Linked DNA regions of Arabidopsis thaliana. The protein of the gene in region 1 interacts with the protein of each later gene in a pairwise test. Each region holds a gene or a part of one and is shown on either strand. Other genes may lie near its edges.

Region 1 (5,114 bases):
CTTGAAAGTTCAAATTTTTTGTTGTTTTTGCCAAATTTAAGAACAAACAGAAGTAAAGAGTGTTAAACATGTTTTTTACAAATTGTAAAAGCATCCAAAAACATCAATCAACACTAGTTCGTGAGGTTGCAGAAGCCACAAACAAACGTGTTTTAGGGCTTCGTGTCTTCTTTTTCTTCAATGTTTAACAAACAGATGAAAAGTGTTATAAACAAGCTTTTCCAAATTTCAGAAAGACAAACATCATACGATTATCTAGTTTAGCATTGCCTTAAGATAGTAAATCCAGAAAACAACTGAATCAAGACAGACATTTCAACAAAGGACTCGAACGAAGACTATCAAACATTCATCATTATTCTGGTTTGGTGTCTTCTTCTTCTTCAATCTTAGGCGCCAGATAGTATCGAATGTAACCCATCTCAGCCACCTTGTACTCCACCACGACCGGTAACTCAGAGGACAAACTGATGGTCACAGTTTCCGACAATGGAGTAGCCTTTGTGAAGGAGTTCATGTACCTCAATGCAAATGAAAGCGAAACAGGCTCGTTCATCTCTATCACAATAGCATCTTCAGGCTGCAAAACACACATACAAACATAAGGTCACTTCAACATTGTATTGGACAGATTATTAAACAAATCTCTCTAGATGACTAGTGATTGTTCATACTTTGTCGACGGTAGTATTCTGCCTGAGCACAATGTTTGCTGTCCCGATATCACCTGCTGTTGAAAACTTCACCCCTTCTTTTGTTACCGAGATCACAACTGCAAAATCATAACATCAAAACCAGAATCATGATTAGAGAATCCTCGCAGTGATACACCAAATAAACAAACAGTTCATTTACCTGTGTCACCAATGCTACTGAGATCTTTGCATATCCTGGAAAATTCACCAGAAGGCATTCTCACAATCGAGTGGTACTCAGCATCAGGAATTCCTAAATGCTCACTGTCGATATCCATCAGCTTCATCTCAAAATCTGCAATCTTGTCTTGTGCTGCATCATCAACACCATTTAAATAATGAGATTAACACCACATAGTCAATATCAAACAAAGTTCCTCTGTTAACTTTCACTAAATCAAGAAACTCTATTCACTTTCAAACTATAGTCTTTAAGCTAGAGACTATACCTATTCTGAAAACAAAAATGGAAGGACTCATTCTCATCAAGCAAGTTCTAGTTTCTGTCAAATGAAACCTATAAATAACAGTTCAGATCACTAATAACATCATTAACTACACAAAAACAAAGCCATATCAAACCTTATTCCAAACCAAAAACCCTCTATTAACATAGATTTTATCTTCTCTTTCATCTCTTACAAACTAAAGCTTTCAAGAAATGGACTGAATCATTCTCTACAATCATATTCTAGCTTCTGGCAAATCAAACCTATAAACACAGAATCAGGTCACCAATAGCATCAACATTGACAACAAAACCAAAGCCCTAACAAACAAAAATCGATTTGAAGAACTTACTGGGACTCTCAAACATGAAAGTAACAGTGTCGCTACCATCATCAGCTTTGATGGTGATGATATCATCATTTCCAGCACATTTCAGCATCTTAGACATATTACCAAGATTCATTCCCATAGAGAGGTTCCTATCGCATCTATAGTGCTCGAAACCTTCAGATCTAAGCAAAAGAGACACCAACGCGACATGGCTCGAATCCATAGCTTGAAGCGAGAACCCTGTGGTCGAACAGTCGAAGTTCGCATCGTTCACCAGATCTTTGACCGCTTCTAGAACCTTCTTCAGTAGAGAACCTTGAACTAAACGAAGCTCCAACATCTTCTGGGAAATTATCGAAAGGTTAGAGTGTGAATCGAAACGGTTAGGGTTTTTAGAGCTGTTGAAATTTCTGGGAGGAGATTGCAATTGTTAGCGGGAAGTGATATTATAAGCTGAGATTTTGTGGCGCCATTTAGCGATTTTAGGGTATTTTTGTTCCCGCCTGTGTGTGACGATGAATTATCATCTGTGTGAGTCCGTATTGTTTATTTCAGTACACCACCATCACTTTAAGCTTTCTTATTTCATGGGTTTAAATTGGGCCAAACAAACATTCGGCCCAACAGCAGCTGTAATATTAAAGATTCCCGAAAAAATCGAAACGAGAGCAAATCTGCTCTTCAAGGTAATCTTCGTGTTCGAGACTGAAGAAGAAATCCAGAAATCATTGAGGAAGGAAGAGAATTAGGAAATGGCGCATAGAATACTGAGAGATCACGAGGCTGATGGATGGGAACGTTCTGATTTCCCAATCATCTGTGAGTCTTGTCTCGGTGACAATCCTTACGTGAGAATGGTATATTCTTCGCTTCCTATGTTTCTCCTCAAACAAATTCGATTTCCTTGCCTTTAGCTAGATTTTTTTTTAACATTCATGTGTCTTTATTAAGATCTCCTTTCATTTGTCCATTTTCGAGCTTGTTTAATGCTTTTATGTTTCTTAGTGTTGAAGCTGCAATTTTAGTGATTTGAGATTTTAGGGTTTAAGCGATTTAATATACAATTCATAACCTTTGGTAAAAATCAGAATTCATGGAGTTGTAGTTCAAAATGATATCTTTGGTTTGTTCTGATCAAATTTGCTTAGAGGGAATGTAATTCATTGAATACTGTCTCATGTTATGTCTGGTAGTGATGTGCAGCTTCATGTTTGATTGATTGATTGATTTATTGTTGTTGTTTGGTATGTAGACAAAGGCGAATTACGATAAAGAGTGTAAGATCTGTACCCGGCCTTTCACGGTTTTCAGATGGCGACCTGGTAGGGATGCGAGATACAAGAAGACTGAAGTTTGTCAGACATGTTGCAAGTTGAAGAATGTGTGCCAAGTTTGTCTCTTGGATCTTGAGTATGGTCTTCCAGTTCAGGTCAGAGACACGGCGCTCAACATTAGTACTCATGATTCTATCCCAAAAAGTGATGTGAACCGAGAGTTTTTCGCTGAAGAGCATGATCGAAAGGTATGGTGACTCTGCGTTCTAACTAGTTATATTATTTGAGTATTGATTGGTTTGAGATTTGGCTATACAGTTTCTCTACTTTGTAATGGCCTATTGAAATGGTTTTGTTTTCTTGTGTAGACGAGAGCTGGACTAGATTATGAGTCTTCTTTTGGGAAGATTCGGCCCAACGATACCATTCGTATGCTTCAAAGGACAACGCCTTACTACAAAAGGAACCGAGCTCATATTTGTAGTTTCTTCATTAGGGGAGAGTGTACAAGAGGTGATGAGTGTCCATACCGTCATGAGATGCCTGAAACAGGAGAGTTATCCCAGCAGAACATTAAAGACCGTTATTATGGGTAAGCATACTTCTAACTTTCATTTTGTTTGAGTATGATAATATTGAGTTACTCCTCAATTTCTTGCTTTGGTATATCATGAAAGAGAGTTATGAAAAATACATCAGTTTGTGTGCGTAAACTGGCTGTTATTTTGGTGATATTGGAACTGTTTTCTCATCTTATTCTTCACTTCCTGCAGTGTAAACGATCCAGTTGCGTTGAAGTTACTTGGCAAGGCTGGGGAGATGGGTACTTTGGAATCTCCAGAGGATCAAAGCATCAGAACGCTTTATGTTGGTGGGCTAAACTCGAGAGTCCTTGAGCAAGACATTCGTGATCAATTCTACGCCCATGGAGAAATCGAATCCATCAGAATCTTGGCTGAGAAAGCATGTGCGTTTGTCACTTACACAACCCGAGAAGGAGCAGAGAAAGCTGCAGAAGAGCTCAGTAACAGGCTAGTTGTCAACGGTCAGAGGCTAAAACTCACATGGGGAAGACCTCAGGTTCCCAAACCTGATCAAGATGGTTCTAACCAACAGGGCAGTGTGGCTCATAGTGGTTTACTACCTCGAGCAGTTATATCTCAGCAACAGAATCAACCTCCACCAATGCTACAATACTATATGCACCCACCACCACCACAACCTCCTCATCAAGACAGACCATTTTACCCATCAATGGACCCTCAGAGAATGGGTGCAGTTAGTTCGTCCAAAGAAAGCGGTTCAAGCACCAGTGACAACAGAGGAGCTTCTTCTTCTTCTTACACTATGCCACCACATGGCCACTATCCTCAGCACCAGCCATACCCGCCACCATCATATGGAGGATATATGCAACCACCTTACCAGCAGTATCCTCCTTACCACCATGGCCATTCACAACAAGCTGATCATGATTACCCACAACAACCAGGTCCCGGTTCAAGGCCTAATCCTCCACATCCAAGTTCAGTCTCTGCTCCACCACCTGACTCTGTGTCTGCAGCACCTTCAGGATCCTCTCAGCAATCTGCTGATGCTGCTGTTACTACTGGTTCGTCTCAATAGGAACCGTTGTCAGTTAAAATGTAGTGCGAATTTCCGGCCATATCTACATTTTGACTTTTTGCTTCTGCTATTTAAAATTAGTTTCCAATGTAAGAGAAGAGAATTGTTACAGTAGTTGTAGACTCTTGTTGACATTATAATTTTGAATTTTTGATAATCCAACATACACATTAAATCCAAGCTGAAACCATAGACAACAAAATTCTCTTGAAGCTTCTTCAAATTCCTCTTTAAACAGCTTTCAATGTTGTATAGATGAGACATATCATACCATCCTCATCAACATAACTATCACAGTTACTGAATGGTTTGATCTTTATAAGCTATGTACCAAGGTTTTAGATTCACAACCAGAAAGAACAAAGGACCTAACCAAATTTACCTAACCATAATCTTATTATTGAAAACAGACATTACAGTGATACAAGACTTAAAAGTTGGACTCAGAGCTTACTAGCTTGTCTACCAAACATAGAATGTCGACCTTCCGCTATAATCTCCCCGGTCATCTTGTTTCTGACTACAACGATTGTTCCTTTATAACCTCCTCTCTCTCCTAACAATCTCGACGTTATCTCCAACTCCTCCTGAAAATTCATTTCCATTTCAATATCATATCTCTCAATCCATTTCTATAGCAAACAAACAGTCCCAAAGTACAGATTGAAAAAAGACTTGAGCAGACTTACACCAAGCTTAGCTTTTGAAAGGAATGCAATAGACATGTCCACTGAAACAC
Region 2 (6,970 bases), on another chromosome or scaffold:
TGACTTGAATGAAACTGATGAGGGCTTGGAATCACCCTCTGACTTTGTGACAATATTATCTGAATTCGCTATCGCTTCAGATACTATGATGACTGATTGTAGCATTCGATTCATGCAAATTGTGCAAGTAAGTTGATTTTGAACACTGATCTTACTATTTTCTTTGATTCTGTTGGCATAAATTTATAGAAGCTTTATTTGTTCTTTCAGGACATACTTGAGCAGTTAACACACCTAGTTGTGTTACACTTTGGTGAGAGTGTACTAACGAGGATATTGCAACTATATGATAAATACATCGACTTTCTGATCAAAGCCTTGCCTGGCCATTCAGATGAGGATGGTCTACCTGAGCTCCAAGATAATACCGTACTCGCTAGAGCTGAGACAGATTCTGAGCAGCTTGCGCTTCTTGGAGCTGCGTTTACAATACTTGACGAACTTTTACCAAGATCACTTGTTAAAGTCTGGAAACTCCAGATTGAAAATGGCGGAGGAGAAGGTGAGAATAGTGCCGCTCTAAACAGTAGTGCTGCACCGGAACTGAAAGAATGGAAACGCCATATGGTTCAAGCATTTGACAAACTCAGAAACTACTTCTGTCTGCAGTTTGTCTTGAGCTTCATCTACTCTAGGGAAGGACTAACGCGATTAGACGCACTCATTTATTTAACCGAAACACCAGATGACTTGCATCTGCCGTCTTTACCGTTTCAGGTCTCGCCCTCTTCTTTGATCTAGTTTTATAGTTCCCAGTTTATAAGTTTTAGCACACAGAATCATCTGTGTCTGTTCTTATGCAGGCATTGTTTTCTAAGCTACAACAGTTGGCCATAATTGCTGGGGATGTTCTGCTTGGTAAAGAGAAGCTGCAAAAGATTCTACTAGCGAGATTAACAGAGACGGTTATAATCTGGCTATCAAACGAGCAGGAGTTTTGGAGTGCATTCGAGGACGAGTCAAATCCACTTCAGCCATCTGGATTGCAACAGGTAGAAACACTCTCTTTCACCACTCTTATATACCTCAGCTATTCTCTGATCTCAGGCTCAGCAGTCAAAGATTGAAAATTTGAAATGGGAAACAATTGAAACTTGATGTTGAAGTTCATTTCTTGAGAAGATTGGGGTTGAAAGTTGAAGTTTTGTTGTCACGTGTTGCAGTTGATCCTCGACATGAACTTCACAGTGGAGATAGCCAGGTTTGCAGGTTATCCATTTAAAGTAGTTCAGAACCATGCATCAGTGGTGATCAATCGAGCCATCAACATATTCTCGGAAAGAGGCATCAACCCACAAAGGTAATTGAAACAACACTCTTTTTGAATTTTCTTCCAACTCGGTCTCAACATAACGAATTACCTAAAAAGTGTATTATTCTCTTTCACCAGCTCACTCCCGAAGACAGAGTGGTTCACAGAAGCCGCCAAGTCAGCTATCAACAGGCTACTCATGGGGTCTGAGGATGCTTCAGAACCGGAAGAATATGAGTGTGAAGAAGAAGAAGAAGACGATCATCACATCGTCCTCCCTGAGATGGATGACGACTCAGATTCCGAAGATACATCTTCACTCTCCACAGTGGACTCGTTCGAGTCATTTGCCTCTGCAAGCATGGCTGACCTAGAGAGTCCATCTTTCACCGATTCTGAGTCTTGACCACTTTCTTTGTAGTTTGTATCCTGTAGTCAAGTCTCTCAAAACTCTCAAGTTAATATATATAAAGTTAACCGAAATCATCTGCAAATTAAATTACTGGTTTAGATTGGTTTAAGTCAATTAGTATAGGCCCATTGTTAGCCCATTAGGGATGAGGCGGTTCTTGAGGGTTTGTCAAGCATAAAATAATTCAGACAAGCCGGTGAAAAAGAAAAGTCGTACGCGACTCTCTCTCTCTATCTTTTATTTCCTTTGGGAGCAAGGCGGTCTATCACTTTCAGTCGCTATATATAATCTTCCTCATCGCTCCATTTTCTCCTACAGTCTCTTTCTCTCTCTCCCTGAGAAAACAAGGGAGACTAATCGGAATCTCCTGCGTATTTGATTCTTCCGGCGATTGTTTCCTTCTTTATACGCTTTCGTATATTCTTGTCAGGTACCAAACTTTTTCCCCCTCTTTGGTTGTGAGCTTCTAATCATTTGTTTTATCGTTCTCTTTGATTCAGCAATATCGAAGCCAAAATTTGTGTGTTGGTTGGTGTTGGTCACCAAAATTTCTTAGATATGATAAAATAGGGCACTTTGATTTTACCCCCTTTTTTAGATCCCAAAGAAGGAGGAATAGTTTAGGCGTCTTGCTATCAATTTTCGATTCGTTTGATTTGGCTTTAGTTAATTTCAACATCGTTGTAGCTGTGTAAGATTTTATTGTTACGTAGATTGGTTTGCTCGTATTTTCGTGTGTGGTGAATTTATCTGGGCCATCAATGTTTGACATTGCTAGAATCTGAATGTTTCTCATTTGCTTTTCTTTTTGTACAGAAGCACCATTGCTCCAACAGTGACGGGTACAGGATCTAGTTCTGTGTTTGTGGAGTCAAGGCAGAATATGAGCTTTCAAGTCAGGCGAGATAGGAGCGATGATAGGTCTCATCGATTCAATCATCAGCAAACGTGGATTCCTAGAAACTCATCTACCTCGAGCGTGGTGGTAAATGAGCCTTTGCTTCCTCCTAATACAGATAGAAATTCTGAAACCCTTGATGCTGGTTCTGCATCCCGTCCTGTTTATCTGCAAAGGCAGCATAACGCTTCTGGTCCTCCGTCCTATAACCACCACCAAAGGAGTAGTAACATTGGTCCACCTCCACCTAATCAACATAGAAGATATAATGCGCCTGATAACCAGCATCAAAGGAGTGATAACATTGGTCCACCTCAACCTAATCAACATAGAAGATATAATGCGCCTGATAACCAGCATCAAAGGAGTGATAACAGTGGTCCACCTCAACCTTATCGACATAGAAGAAATAATGCTCCTGAGAACCAGCACCAAAGGAGTGATAACATTGGTCCACCTCCACCTAATCGACAAAGAAGGAATAATGCTTCTGGAACTCTGCCAGATAATCGCCAAAGAGTTGCATCTAGGACGCGGCCTGTGAATCAGGGGAAAAGGGTAGCGAAGGAGGAGAATGTTGTGTTGACAGACCCAAACTTGCCTCAACTTGTTCAAGAGTTACAGGAGAAGCTTGTCAAGAGTTCTATTGAGTGTATGATTTGTTATGACAAGGTTGGGAGGTCTGCCAATATCTGGTCATGCTCCAGCTGTTATTCCATCTTCCATATCAACTGTATCAAGAGGTGGGCTCGAGCACCAACTTCAGTTGATTTGCTAGCTGAGAAAAACCAAGGTGATAACTGGAGATGTCCAGGTTGCCAATCTGTACAGTTGACATCATCTAAAGAGATTTCCTATCGGTGCTTTTGTGGAAAGAGAAGAGATCCACCGTCTGACCCATATCTCACTCCACACTCATGCGGGGAACCATGTGGGAAACCGCTGGAGAAAGAGTTTGCACCTGCTGAGACGACTGAAGAGGATCTTTGTCCTCATGTATGTGTTTTGCAGTGTCATCCTGGTCCATGTCCTCCCTGTAAAGCCTTTGCTCCACCTCGTAGCTGTCCTTGTGGGAAAAAGATGGTTACTACTAGATGCTCCGAGCGGAGATCTGATCTTGTTTGTGGGCAGCGTTGCGATAAGCTTCTTAGTTGCGGGCGTCATCAATGTGAAAGGACATGTCATGTTGGCCCTTGTGATCCTTGTCAGGTACTGGTAAATGCCACATGTTTCTGCAAGAAAAAAGTGGAGACTGTCATTTGCGGTGATATGAATGTGAAGGGGGAATTGAAAGCAGAAGATGGTGTCTATTCATGCAGTTTTAACTGTGGGAAGCCTCTTGGATGTGGTAATCATTTCTGTTCCGAGGTATGCCATCCTGGACCTTGCGGGGACTGTGACTTACTGCCCAGTAGAGTTAAGACATGCTATTGTGGGAATACGCGTTTAGAAGAACAGATCAGGCAGAGTTGCTTGGACCCAATTCCTTCTTGTTCAAATGTATGTAGGAAGCTTCTTCCTTGTAGGTTACATACTTGCAATGAGATGTGCCATGCAGGTGATTGCCCGCCTTGTTTAGTCCAAGTTAACCAGAAATGCCGGTGTGGGTCAACATCCAGGGCTGTGGAATGCTACATAACAACTTCCTCAGAGGCAGAGAAGTTTGTGTGCGCTAAGCCATGTGGACGTAAGAAGAACTGTGGGAGACATAGATGTAGCGAGCGTTGCTGCCCTCTCTTGAACGGGAAGAAGAATGATTTATCTGGCGATTGGGACCCACATGTCTGCCAAATACCTTGTCAGAAGAAGCTAAGGTGTGGGCAGCATTCCTGTGAATCTTTATGTCACAGTGGACATTGCCCTCCTTGTCTCGAGATGATCTTCACTGATCTTACATGTGCTTGTGGAAGAACTTCGATTCCTCCTCCACTATCATGTGGGACACCTGTTCCTAGCTGTCAGCTTCCATGCCCGATTCCTCAGCCTTGTGGCCATTCTGATACGCATGGATGCCATTTTGGAGATTGTCCTCCTTGTTCTACCCCTGTGGAAAAGAAGTGCGTTGGTGGTCATGTGGTTCTCAGAAACATACCCTGTGGGTTGAAAGACATTAGATGTACCAAGATTTGTGGAAAGACGAGGCGTTGTGGCATGCATGCTTGTGCCAGAACTTGTCACCCGGAGCCTTGTGACAGCTTCAATGAATCTGAAGCAGGTATGCGTGTTACGTGTAGACAGAAATGTGGTGCTCCTAGAACAGATTGCAGACACACTTGTGCAGCACTCTGCCATCCTTCTGCGCCTTGCCCTGACCTAAGATGTGAATTTTCAGTCACAATTACTTGTTCATGTGGTCGTATAACCGCTACGGTCCCTTGTGATGCTGGGGGAAGAAGTGCCAACGGTTCTAATGTTTACTGTGCGGCCTATGATGAAGCCTCTGTTTTACAGAAGCTTCCAGCTCCACTTCAGCCTGTTGAATCGAGCGGAAACCGTATCCCCCTCGGGCAGAGAAAGCTTTCGTGTGATGATGAGTGTGCGAAGCTGGAGCGTAAGCGGGTTCTTCAAGATGCATTTGATATAACTCCCCCAAATCTGGAGGCATTACATTTCAGCGAGAATTCTGCTATGACAGAGATTATTTCAGACCTTTATAGGCGTGATCCAAAGTGGGTACTGGCTGTTGAAGAGCGCTGCAAGTTCTTGGTACTTGGGAAAGCAAGAGGAAGCACAAGTGCCCTTAAGGTCCATATCTTCTGCCCGATGCAGAAGGATAAACGAGACACGGTTCGACTTATAGCTGAGAGGTGGAAACTTGGTGTTAGCAACGCAGGGTGGGAGCCAAAACGGTTTACAGTGGTTCACGTAACAGCAAAATCGAAACCGCCAACAAGGATCATTGGAGCTAGGGGTGGTGCTATCTCGATAGGAGGGCCACACCCACCGTTCTATGATTCGCTGGTGGATATGGATCCTGGACTTGTGGTTTCTTTTCTGGATCTTCCGAGAGAGGCGAATATCAGCGCCTTGGTACTGAGATTTGGGGGTGAATGTGAGCTTGTTTGGCTGAATGACAAGAATGCTTTAGCGGTGTTCCACGACCATGCCCGAGCTGCCACTGCCATGAGGAGGCTTGAGCACGGTTCAGTATATCATGGAGCTGTGGTTGTCCAGAGCGGCGGGCAATCTCCATCACTTAATAATGTATGGGGAAAATTACCTGGCAGCTCGGCGTGGGATGTTGACAAAGGAAATCCATGGAGGAGAGCTGTGATTCAGGAGAGTGATGACTCCTGGGGAGCTGAAGATTCCCCCATTGGAGGATCATCTACAGATGCTCAAGCCTCTGCGCTGAGATCAGCAAAGAGCAACTCTCCAATTGTTACCTCGGTTAACCGTTGGAGTGTTTTAGAGCCCAAGAAGGCCAGCACATCCACTTTGGAGCCAATTGCTCAGATAGAAGAGAGCAGTAGTTCAAAAACTACCGGTAAACAACCGGTGGAAGGCTCCGGTGAAGAAGTGGTGGATGACTGGGAGAAGGTATGTGAGTGAGAGCATATACCCAACGACTGTGATTGGTTTTCAACTTCTTTGTGATGTATGAAAACGGCAGATTGTTCAGACGTATATAATGGAGACTGTATGCGTGTGCGTATGCTGTGATGAGTCCATTTCAAAGCTTAGGTGATAGCCAACGACGTGCCGTTTTTGTTTTGGCATCTTTGGCGTGCGTTTGGTTTATTTATGTAGTAACTAAAAAAACATCCCATTGTTCAGTAACTTCAGTTATTGTGAAACGGCATGTTTGTAACGCTTTTTTTTTTCTCTTTTATTCTTGACATAATGATGCAACACTAAGGTTGGTTATTCATTCATTAGTACTCTTTATCTTGAAATCATTTTCTCCTCTGCAATTAACGGTTAGGTGCTGAAATCATTAGGAATAGTGAAAAAAAAACTCTTTTATGTGTCATATTCTTTTTTTTTTTTTTTTTTTTTTTTTTTTCATAAATTTCCAATAAAACGAAAAAGGTTACAAGGCTTAGAAGGCCATACAACAGGCACGCAGGCCCAGAGAAGGCACGCAGGCCCAACAACTAACAGAACAAGAAAAAACCGAGAACCTGAATCCCAGCGACGAGGCCCAGAGAGAACCCAAGGACGACAAGATCTCAGCAAAACAAAAGGAGAACAACGCTGAGCCAACAGAGGACCTGCAAAATAAACTCCACATTAACCAGAGACAGGTGAACGCTGAAACACTCCAAACCACGAGGCAAGAAGAGAAGAGCCTGGCTGAGAGACGACGCGGGAAGACCGAGACAGAGGGTCCAACCTAGCCCTAACGATAAGCTGAATTTCCTTGATGATCAAATGAGCTGGTCTAACAGAATTTGAGTGAATGCGA

What was found.
Region 2: the proteins of MAC5B (region 1) and NFXL1 interact in binary tests that used the Arabidopsis thaliana proteins (3 or more experiments, as listed by UniProt).

The regions. Positions count from the first base shown.
Region 1 is NC_003071.7:12,649,784-12,654,897, forward strand, and holds MAC5B (CCCH-type zinc fingerfamily protein with RNA-binding domain-containing protein), read left to right. Parts: upstream 1-2,042; 5' UTR 2,043-2,227; coding exon 2,228-2,332; intron 2,333-2,727; coding exon 2,728-2,997; intron 2,998-3,117; coding exon 3,118-3,341; intron 3,342-3,522; coding exon 3,523-4,375; 3' UTR 4,376-4,553; downstream 4,554-5,114. Other genes in the region: PCNA2 (proliferating cell nuclear antigen 2), read right to left, coding at 356-580, 675-772, 856-1,008, 1,497-1,815; AT2G29590 (Thioesterase superfamily protein), read right to left, coding at 4,819-4,962, 5,065-5,114.
Region 2 is NC_003070.9:3,333,069-3,340,038, reverse strand, and holds NFXL1 (NF-X-like 1), read left to right. Parts: upstream 1-1,954; 5' UTR 1,955-2,094; intron 2,095-2,480; 5' UTR 2,481-2,547; coding exon 2,548-6,102; coding exon of another isoform or gene 6,103-6,114; exon of another isoform or gene 6,115-6,175; coding exon 6,176-6,250; 3' UTR 6,251-6,444; downstream 6,445-6,970. Other genes in the region: AT1G10180 (LOW protein: exocyst complex component-like protein), read left to right, coding at 1-127, 211-717, 804-992, 1,164-1,300, 1,391-1,658. UniProt on the Arabidopsis thaliana protein: Mediates E2-dependent ubiquitination. Confers resistance to osmotic stress such as high salinity. Promotes H(2)O(2) production. Negative regulator of some defense-related genes via an salicylic acid (SA)-dependent signaling pathway.